Drosophila melanogaster: one gene and its partners. The protein of the gene in region 2 purifies or fractionates together with the protein of the main gene of each other region. This does not show direct contact. Each region holds a gene or a part of one and is shown on either strand. Other genes may lie near its edges. The genes, in order: scat, Arl5 and Vps51.

Evidence for each region.
Region 1: the proteins of Arl5 (region 2) and scat purify together in Drosophila melanogaster (affinity purification with mass spectrometry, with the first as the bait; one study listed by BioGRID). This does not show direct contact.
Region 3: the proteins of Arl5 (region 2) and Vps51 purify together in Drosophila melanogaster (affinity purification with mass spectrometry, with the first as the bait; one study listed by BioGRID). This does not show direct contact.

What each region holds. Positions count from the first base shown.
Region 1 is NT_033779.5:9,429,702-9,433,457, forward strand, and holds the start of scat (scattered), read left to right. Parts: upstream 1-1,703; 5' UTR 1,704-2,012; coding exon 2,013-2,200; intron 2,201-2,579; coding exon 2,580-3,756. Other genes in the region: FucTB (alpha1,3-fucosyltransferase B), read right to left, coding at 322-728, 996-1,229. UniProt on the Drosophila melanogaster protein: May be involved in retrograde transport from early and late endosomes to late Golgi. Required during spermatogenesis for sperm individualization.
Region 2 is NT_037436.4:8,298,126-8,301,881, forward strand, and holds Arl5 (ADP-ribosylation factor-like 5), read right to left. Parts: upstream 1,715-3,756; 5' UTR 1,166-1,714; coding exon 626-1,165; 3' UTR 376-625; downstream 1-375. Other genes in the region: Rab19, read left to right, coding at 1-99; CG13671 (uncharacterized protein), read left to right, coding at 1,991-3,756.
Region 3 is NT_033778.4:18,709,241-18,712,996, forward strand, and holds the start of Vps51 (vacuolar protein sorting 51), read right to left. Parts: upstream 1,626-3,756; 5' UTR 1,536-1,625; coding exon 1,455-1,535; intron 1,379-1,454; coding exon 627-1,378; intron 567-626; coding exon 1-566. UniProt on the Drosophila melanogaster protein: May act as a component of the GARP complex that is involved in retrograde transport from early and late endosomes to the trans-Golgi network (TGN).

The DNA of each region.
Region 1 (3,756 bases), on a different chromosome or scaffold from region 2:
GTCAGAATCATTTGAACTATTTTGAGACTCCATTATTGAATCGTCATCACAGAAAAGAGGTTCTTCTAGATCTTTATGATTTCCCTGACGACAGCAGCATTCTCTGGAAACGTTGCTCATTTGAGGCAGCGAGCCGTACAACTGCACCCAGCACTCTGAACAACAGACCTTGGGAAGCTCGTTGGCACTTGGTGATGTCATGATGGCAAAGGAATTTTAGAACGATAGTGTTTCACGTGATGTGTTTGTCACGCGTGTTTGTTATGAGTGTGTAAAATGTTTGGGATTATAAATAGGATACAAATGGAATAGCCTACTTGCCTCTCTGGCAGATCTCTATTCCGTAGGCAGCTGCCGTAGGAATCGATCGGAAGATGTTTCATCAGTTCCTTTACGTAGTCCTCCCTTCCAGACATCGTGTCGCAGTCGCTTTGGAGGAACACCACCGATGTGGATGGACGGTATCCGTACTTTGACTTGCCGTCAAACGTAACATAGTAATCCTTCGAAGTAAGCGCCTCGCCACTGGGCAAGTACATCGTAGTCAGCGGCAAGTTGCTGTAGCGGCTAAACGTGGATGTGAAATGGAAGTGGCGAAGGAACTCTTTATTGGACACAAAAGGGGTGTTCCTTGGTGATTCTTCATGCAGTAGGGCCCAGATTTGGTGCTCGTTCCGAGGCAGGGGAAAGTCTCCCGTCTTTATGTTTGAGCCGTAAAACAGGACGCCCTGTGAAAAATGTAAGAGACATTCCGTTATTATTATATCAAATTACAATGAATCTACAATTACATATCTTACTGAAGTAAGCGAATTTGTATCTGCAGTGCTATGCATTTCTCAGTCTAAGCTATGTGTTTACATATTTTTCAGAACTATGGTACAGTATCTCAAACAGTTGGAGCCCTATATTATTATTATTTTCAATCCAATTCTTATCATGTCTGCCGGATGTGAAACAAAAAGAAATCTAGACTTTTGGTTTTTGAAACGAACCCGGGCCCACGGACGGCGGCTCCGCTTGTTGGTGATGCGGCAAGTATGAATTCCGCACTGGCGCTGCACGTCGTAATTCCAGGACATATCCCTGGACCACCAGACCAGCTCCACAGGACTGTTGAACTTGATGTTTTCGTAGTTAATGATATTTTCCGACCAGAAGAACAATACGGTCGCCCCAACCATAAGCAGCGCAACCAGTGCAATTCCGTAACGTTGTGCCAGTCGCATGATTATCTTTGCAGTTCTTTGCTAGCTAGATAATCAAAATTATTCGCTGCACCACTTCGAAAAGATTCAAAAAGCCGGTGCGCCGCAATTTCGCTCGAGCGCCCCAATTTCGACTGTCAGTCGTCAGCTGATTTTGCTCAGATGTAGTGTTGGATAACGTTTGGTATTTTTGAGACACGATTTGCACGATACGATTGTATGCCAGGAAATGTATAAACATTTTTATTTAAAAAATAAAACAGTTCTGCCTGAATGTTTAATATAATTAAAACATATAATTATTATTCAACTTAAATTTTTAAAGCATAATTCTATTTATTTGATATTTTGTTTTTTAGATATTCAAATTACATTAATTATATTAACTAAACATATACTATATTTATTTTCTGTTAAAATTAATTACTTTCATATTTTAATTTCGAGCTGCTGGCATCGCGCGCTTGACCGTTTCCAGCCCTCGCCAGCTGCCATCCAGTCCGCCGCTGTTTTACAACACTGAACTTCGTCATAATATTGTTCCACTTACAATTGCTCAATTAAGCGACCGCAGAAGCAACAGAAACACCCATAAATCGGACGAAATGTGCCCATTCCAAGGCTAGAGAACGAACAGCCAATGAAAGTGGACTTATTGCGGAGCAACCAAAATGCAACATCTGGCAAGAGAGGCAGACGAGCGAAGGTAGAAAACAAACATTGACATAACACGTCAACGATTGGGAGCAGGTGAACCACCGGGGAAACCATACGGCGCGGCACTTTAAACGCAGAGCATGTGTTATGGCCACGACAAGATCCGCCGGAGGTGCCGCCACGTCCGTTGATACTGGACCGGCAGCAGGGAACTCGGGTATCAGAAAGCTATCGACGGCTAGCGTCGGTGGAATTGCCGGAGGAGTGGCGCCCAGCTGGCAGAGCTGCTACTACTGCACCCGGGAGCACTTTAAAAGCATCAGCGACTTCGTCAAGTGAGTGTCGTCCAAATCTTCCCATATAATAGAACTTTGAGCAGCCTTACGAGTCAATACCATTTTTATCTTAACTTTATATGCATGTATGAGTTAAAACGATAAATGCCAGGTAAATTGCACAGACAGGTAGAAATAATTAAAATTGTATAGCTGCAGTCGAACTCACAAACCTCGTTTAGAGGTGTTTTGTACGTAAGTTATATTTGGGATTGTCTAAAAGTGATTATACGGAAAACAATACAACTTCTATATATGTAATTTTAAAGATAATAGAATGTGTTGCAAATTCAATTGGAATTTAATAGAATATTGATTCATTAAAGTTACTCAGATCTTATAAAGCTGTTTTAATAAATGCTCTCATTACGCATTACAGTCACCTGCGAAATCGTCACTGTACCCGGGAGGGTGGCTCATTTGTGTGCCGCTATGGCTTCAATGGAGTATGTGCCTCGCTTCCACTGGACGGAGTCTCAGATCGCGATTACGACGCCCATGTCGCCAAGTACCATGTCAATCAGCACACGCGCGAAATGCCTCCCGAATGGGGAGTCTACTCGGCGGCCCAAAACCTGCCAGCGGTGCTCAACGATCCCTCGCGAGGAAAGCAGAGTAATCTGTTTACCAAAAAGTGGGGCGAGCATTTTGTGGAACGAAGTCATGTGCCCCCATCACCCCGATTGCCCGATATAACCCATGCGGATTTTACCGTGTATCTGGGCAGCATAGGGAAGCGATATCGTTGGCATGAGCGGCGGCAGCAACAACTGGAGCGTGATAAACCGCTGGAGAATGGAGCACAAGGAGCACCTGGACCGGGAACTGGTGGTCAGACACCAACACACTTGAGTTCTGTGCCCGAGATCTTTCTGAAATCACAACTGCAGCTTCATCATCCGGCAACCTTTAAGCAGGTATTTCCTAATTACATGCAAACATCGGCTTCCAGTCCGGAAAGTCATCAGCAAACTGGTCGTCAGCTGCAGGAACAGCTGAGTCACTACCTGGACATGGTGGAAGTTAAAATAGCGCAACAGGTATCGCAGAAATCGGCTGCGTTCTTTCACGCCATGACCACGCAGCACGCTATTCTGGCTGAGATGGAGCAGGCGGCCGACCAAGTACGTCAGTTGCGGGCAGCACTGGCCGAACTCCACAGCCACTCGGTTGTAGACAGCTTCAAAGTGCTGCGTTTCGCCCAAAGAAGACAGCACTATAACCTCACACTAGACAAACTCCGACTGATGGCCACCGTACACAAGACGCAACCGATGCTGCAGCTCCTACTGGGCACCCAGGACTATGTGGCAGCCTTGGATTTGATAGGCACCACGCAGGAAATACTTTCCGCCGAACTCCTTGGCATTCACTGCTTTAAGCATTTGCCTATGCAGCTTAGCGAAATGGAGAAGCTTATTGACAAAATGCTTACCACGGAATTCGAGCGCTATGCTGCCGCCGATCTAAATCGACCGTTAACGGATGCCCTCCGGGAAACCGACAGCGTTTGCGCCGAGGAGGATAAACTCGTAGCTATTGTGATGGGCCTGTTG
Region 2 (3,756 bases):
CACGATGCCAACAATGTGGAGGAGGTGCCAGAAAACACCATCACCTTGGGCCAGGGAAAGCCTTTAAAGAGTTGCAGCAGCTCATGCAATCTCACCTAGACCTAAATCCGCTCTTTAGTTTGCTTTTACTTTTGTGATCAAATTGTTCTTGTGGCTATATATTAGTATTCTAATGCTTTAACCTAATCCTAGACACTAACTTTTACACAACCATGTATTTATTTTTGACGATAGAGTACAAACAATCTCACACATCAGCGAATCGAGCCAACAATGTCAATTACAAGGCAATGCTCAGAGAGGCAAATACGTCCACTTCTCTATTTGTAATTTGTATTCAATTTGATATGCGACAGTGTCGAAATAAACTCGTTTATTTTGTAATTTTATTGGAAGTATCGTAGTTAAATTGGCTTAGCTCCTAGACATTATCCATATACACGTAGATTTAAATCATCGAGGGACTCCTGTTCGGACGTATTTTACACTAAATAAAATTGGCTTGGCAACAACTTTTCAAACAATTTGGAAACGCTTAAAAATTGTTTATATCAAAATTGGTTTACTTTCTCTAGACAGCTAGTCGTTAATGATTAATTAGCTAATATGTAGCATGTGTGGCGGGTCATTTGTTCTTGATGCGCTGCACGATCCACTCTAATCCTTGATAGAGTCCTTCGCCGGTGAGCGCACAGCAGGCCTGGATGTGCCATTGGTGCTTCTTGATGGAGGTGAGGTCCAGTTGTCGTGAGATTTCCGCCGCCGACATAGAGCCCTTGAGATCCTGCTTATTGGCATAGACCAGCAAACTGGCCTTGCTCAGATCCTCATGTTGCAGCATCCGGTAGAGCTCTTCCCGCGTAACAGCTAACCGTTCCCGGTCCGTGGAGTCGATGACCATGATCACCAGCTCTGTGTTCGTGTAGTAGGTGCTCCAAGCGGCGCGCAGACTCTGCTGACCACCAAGATCCCAGACAAGAAAGTGTATATTCCGCCAGACGACCTCCTCCACGTTGGAACCGATCGTGGGACTTGTGTGGACCACTTCGTTCATCAGGAACTGGTACAGGATGGTGGTTTTGCCCGCGTTGTCCAGACCCACCATCACCAGCTTGTGCTCCTCGTTGCCAAACATCCGCCAGAGCCGCGATAATAACAGTCCCATATTTGAACCTTATTTTTAGCTATATACGTATATAATCAATTGTTGATTATGCTGCAGCTGCTGTTATTGTTGTTGCTGCTTCCACCGATTAGAGATTTGATTTCGAACGATGACGGCGATTGCCTCACACACAGGTTATCGGCTGGCCTGCGTGTGTATGCGTGGTAGACCCGTGTGTGTGGGTGTAAGTGAACGCTGAGCTTTGTTGTTGTTTCCGCAGGGGAAGGCGAAGGCCGTACGGTAAATTATTCACTGATTTAACTATTCAGCTATTCACTCCACACTCTCACACCCTAATTACTGTTGTTGTTTTCGCCAAATGGGAATTTTTTTGGGGGGATTGGTGAGCGATTTTCAGGTGGTTTGCCTTTGGGTGGTTTCCATTCGTTTCGTTGCAGCGGGAAACGCTACTTCGTTTACGCGTCGCAGTGGGTTTAGAACAGCCGTTGTTGATAATTTAATTAACAGAGTTTTAATTAAGAAAGTAAACAGCAGAAGTGATTAATTAATATCACTTGGAATCGATAGTGCTGCTATCGATAACTGCGGGCAGTGTGGGGAAGAAAGTAAAGCTTAATGAGACCGTAACCATTTAGTGCTTAACAACGTTTCTTTTGCATTTCCAAAACAAGTTATTTTTGAATATTGAACCTATTTAAAGAATTATTTTCAAATTTAAAATTTAGATTTAGTCATTACTTATAAATTATTATTATTAACAACACTACCGACGTTACCAGTGTGGCCATCCTCGCGGCAAACATCTGTTCACGGCGGTTGCTGTTGTGTTGTTCTTAACATCTAATTAGCTTCCCACCGGTTGCAATGAAAATAATTTTGAGCCTGCTGCTCCTGGCTCTCTCTATCGCTCAGTTGGACGCCTCAAGGTCAGCCACATCCGACCAGGCTCCCATTGTCGAGTGTCCCGGACGCAGTGTTCCCCAGCTCCGTGCGGAAGCGTCAGAGTCAGAGATCTCGCTGCTATTTTACTACGTGTCCTGGGCCAGCGAAGCACGGCAGGCACGACTGGTCTACAATGGACTGGCCCACTATTACCAGGAGTATGGCTTCTTTGGAGCCATCGATTGCTGGCACTTGCAGTGCAATTGCAGCCGTACTTTGATGCCGGCACCAGGAGTCGCCGGCGCAGGAGGTTATCCTGACAAATGGCCCACGCTGATCGTGCGCTACGGCCAAAAGCAGTTACTCCAGTACCAGGGCTCGTGGAGCTTTGAAGATCTCGCCCGGTTCATGAATAACCTGCTTCAGCCACTGGACCGGGCACACAGTAGTCAGGATCTCGCCGCCATTCGGAAGCACTCGGATGCGGTGGTTTTGGGTCTGCTTGACTCGCCAGACGACAAGGCCTACAATCTTTACTTGGCTGCCGGTCTGCGCTGGCTGGAACTGGATCCGGAGAGGAATATCCGCTTCACCGTGTACTTTGGCAACAGTGCCAGGAAGATGTTGAAGTCCTCGGAGGCCAAGCTGCCCCAGTTTGTAGTTATCGACAGCCGAAATGGAGTTCATACGTTTAATGGTACATCTGGAGTATGGAAGACCATCGACATTCTGCGCTGGGTACGGAGCACACTCAAAAATATGTCGCTGTTCTCCAATGGCTATGGCACTCCTATGACCATCGCCATGAAGGCACGACATGTCCCCGTGCTGGCTATGGGAGTTCGAATGAACCAATATCACCATGCTAGCGTCATGGGCGAGGAGATGGCTTACGCTCAAAAAAAGCAGTCGGAGGGGTGCGAAGACTACTGGAAAAAATTCGATAAACAATCTGAAGACATATCCTCCTCCCTAAATCAAGTTCCCAAGGAGCTGTTTGGGGATGGTGAACAAACCCGGACATGTTACCCGGCCTGGAGTAAAAACAAGACCACACTTAAGAACTATTATCGGATTAATAGGTATCTAAACCACCTATGGAGGCAGTACTCGCACCAGAACCATCCGAGTTATCGAAACGTCCCCCACTTGCTGCGGCTTCACTCCAGAAACCTTTGCCTGGCACACTCACAGCATGGAACGCCGGCCATAAAAATCGGCATTGCCAAAATGGTAACCAAATATGGCCAGCTCATTTGGCAGCACTCGACGGAGCGCGCAGCCCACAATCGGTCGCTGGGCGTGGTGATCTTCGATTCTGTGAAATATAGAGACTATCTACACCAGCTTGGCATTCAGCAAACCCATCAGCAGGTGCAGGTTTTCATCTTGGATGCGGCTGAAGAGTCACTGTATGTTATGCCACAGCAACACACATTCTCCTACGTAGCTCTTAAAGATTTTATACGGCAGTTTTACGCCAGAACATTGCCAAGGACTCACAAAAATGCTCTTGCCATGATGGAATCTGGGTTCAGTAGAAAATACAATAGACAGATGCTGTTGCAGGCAATCCAGCGACCAAATGTCACCAATGTGGTATTTATGCATCGTCCTGACTGCGCTCTGTCAGCCGTTCTATCCCAAGCATTTCTGCAGGTTTCGGCGCTGCTCGGCAGCCCCGAGGTGCACTTTGTACGCTTCGATAGCCAGGCTAATGATCTGCCCTGGGAGTTGGCCATGCCAAC
Region 3 (3,756 bases), on a different chromosome or scaffold from region 2:
TGGAGCTGGAGGCATCTCCGAAACCACACATCACCTTGGCAATATGACGTAGGAAGCCAATGAGTAGGTTCTCCCGAATGCCCTCTACGCACAGGGCGCCCTTGTGTTCCGCCTTGATGTTAAACGACCAGTCGGTGCGCAGGAATATAAGCAAGTCCTGCAGTACACCCTTTATTTTCTCCACCATGGACACATAAAGGTTGCTTATCAGATCACCGAGATTGAGACCAGCAGCTGCATCGCTCTTGGCAGAAACCAGCGACAGACGAACCGCACTCAAACTGTCGGCAAAGTGATCTTTGAGGTTTTTGGCATGGGCATCGCATAGTTGGTGGGCAGCCGAAATAATGATAGATACTGTGTTGCGTTGGACCTCCAAGCCGCGGCAGATATTTCGCATGGCCTGAAGGCGCCGATGAAGTCGATCCAGAGCGCGTAGCATTACCTGGGTATCGCCGTAGCCAATGTCGGACTCAACACGATCCTGGACGAGTGTCAGATACTTTTCGATGTTCTGATTGAGGAAGACATTTAGCTCCTGCAGGGCGTTCTCCTGAAAGTCATCGCTGAAAATGGAATGGATAATAAAACTCAATTAAGATTATACAAAATATTGTTCAATTTACCGCTCATGCTCGTAGTGCTTGGCCACAAACATGTCAAAGTAGGAAGTCACTACCAGTGCCAGATCGTTGAGGAAACCATCGATGCCCATGTCCACAAACTCCAGCATATCACGCTCTGTTTGATCCTGCAGCATGACGATTTGCTCGTGCAGTCGTTTGCCAGCGCAAGTCAGCATTTCGCTTGCCAGATCCGAAGTCTTTTCGTCCAGCTGCAGGAGTAGCTCTCCAATTTCCGTCAAGGATTGGGCCGTGTTCCCAGCCCTTTGAAAGTCACTTCGCAATTGCTCCTTGAGATCTGCCATGATGGCGTCGCAATCTCGCTGGATTCCATCGAAGGACGGCTGTCGACCGTACTGGGCGAACACCTTCTGGGCATGCAGGTAGTCCTGGACAGCTTGTGCGTAGTTCTGTTCCTCGATGAGGGACTTCAGTTTAGCTGGCAGAGTTGAGAGAAACTGCAGCCTTTTGAGGAGCGAGTGTTTCTCGGACAGGCGACATAGTTGCGATCTGGTGCCCTGCAGCGTTCCGGTTATTTGCTCACTAAAAGTCGTTATGGATTGCATCTTGGTCATCAGTAGGTTCACATCCGTTTCCATCTGCTTGAAGTCATCTTTCATCCGGCGAATTGTATCCGTGGCGGAGATGAATTTGTTGTAATTCTCGTAGACCAGCGTCTGCATATCAGAGTGCAATGTCTGTGTGTCCTTGACCACCGCCGCCTCCGTATCCATTATTTGCTTTAAGGAGCAATCCTTTATTTGTGAGTAACAGCCAGAACAAAAAGTGCATAAGTTAATGATTATTACTTCACTATTTTGTTGTTCTTACCTTGAGCAACCTTTCCAGATACTTTTCCGCATCGAAGCTGGAGCTGTCCATGTCGAAGGGATTGGCTTTGGTTTCAGCCATTTTGTAGAACTTTTTTTTACCACTAGTCTAAATAAATAAATAAACTAAATGTTGTGAACTTGTTGTTGCTGAAGATTTATCGTTTTTTTCGTATATCGATAAGTTAAGGTGTGTTGGGCAACGAAAAATGTTTCCCTCATTTAACAGCTGACTACCAATATTGTTATCGATATCCAATACCGCCACACAATCATTTTTTGAACGGTGCGCGTTTAGCAACTTTTTATTTTAAATTAAATAGAAATATTATTATATTATTATTATATTATTAAGTGAATAATAATTTAGACAGTTAAATGTTAATGCAGAATAGTACTGCTATGGCATTATATTGAAAGAATTTTAATTTTTAATATTTTTCTGAGTATTTATAAAGTTAGTGTCTTTATTAAATATATTATTTTATTATCTTTTTTATTGTTTTTTCTTTTTGTTTTTATTTTTAGGCACATAGGTGTGTGATGAATTGGTATTAAATCGTGAGAGACGTGAACTGAGATTATCTTAGTTTGCAAAGCTCTCTGTCATTTTTATTCTAATCGCGGCTTTGTTATTGGGAATCTCCCATTTCAAACTGATAAGAAAATACTTGTTTGTTTTTCATAAATGGCATTAATGTAAAAGGTTTTATTAAAGCAATCACAACATGAAGCTATTACTCTTTGTTTCCGCATTAATTGCAGCTCTGTGCAGCTCATTTGTGACTGCTGGTTAGTAACAACAAAATGTTAGTTAACTAATGTACCTAATTACTTAAACATTTTGTAGATTGCTTAACGGACCCCGTGACAATGCTGTGCATTTTGGACCCAAATCATGGCAAATAACTTTGTATATCACCTGGCTCAATAAAGCACAAAAGTAGAACACGATGTGGGCTTCTGTATCCTAAGTAATTCAACAGTCTCCCCAGACTGAGTTACGTGTGGCAAATCGCATTAAACATTCCACGCCCACCGCCTCCACACTACCAGACATCTTTTTTGTTAAGGTCTTATACCCTGTCGTTGGGTATTTCGAAACTGCGATTAACTATGTAACGCTTATTGAAAGATATATTCTTCTGAATTCTGAATTGCCCTATGTTACAGTTTTAATATCTTTTAAACATCATTAAATCATTTTTTGTAATGGGTATTTTCAGTGTCGTGGCATAAATATGTAGCAGTTGTTTGTACTTCTTGGTGCGTCCTTTTTTATTTCGGTGGGAGTTCGTCTGCCCGCTGGCGACCGTGTCAAGTTGAATGAACATGGACAAGTTTTTGCCACATTCCGAGGGCCTAAAGTTCCCTGTGCTGCTGTATCTCGCATCTGAGTCTCGCTTTTCGGCTGCTGGCCCTGCAGCATTCCCCGTAATTTTCCCACCATTCGCACTATATTTTATCCTGGGCTCCTTTCGCTCTCGTTCCTTTGTGGCGTCTCATTTCAAATACATTAACATTTTGACCTTTCGCAAAAAAGTTCGAGCTGTTGCCGGGGCCGAATTTAATTTCGAGTTGTGTGCAGATTGTGCAAATCACACGCTCTCCAATGCCATCAGCCTCCAAACTTGTATCATGTGCACTGAGAAAAATGTATAGCAATGAGGAGTTTGATGAGGATCCTAATTCGCAACACACTATGCTATTATATGTTTGTAATGAATAACCATTATTCATATTCCAAATCATTTCTATGATTGAAAACTAAAACTTTTAATTGCAATGGTCTTCTTAAAGGTTAGACAAACAAAAAAAGAAAAGACCGACAGTGGGACAGTGTGTCACACACTCGCGCTTGTGTGTGGCATGAACTTTGCTTTCATCAAACTGAAAATTGAATTTACGTAAGCCGAGCGAAATATAACAAAAAAAAAAAGTGAAAAGCTGAAGGACGTGAGGGCGGCGGAAAGCGTCGAACGTGTCAAGGTCAAGTTGCCATTGTCCCAGGTTTTCCACACCTCACTTTCTCCCCCACCCCACTCCTGCTCCCCTTCTCACTTCTGCGTGCGGCACAGAGAAAGCTGTGCACACCACCCACGTTCGGCCCACTAATATGTTTTGTGCAGTTTGAAGTGCGCCAAGTCGTTAAATTAATTTCAGTGCACTCAAAAGCAGGAGCAGCGGAAACTGGAGCACACAGCCAGTGCTCATTTTAAACGGATTATATGTACGGCATTGGAGTGGGCCGTGGGTGGCAGGTGGGGTGTGGCGTAGCGTGGCGTGGGTTCAGAGATTACTGG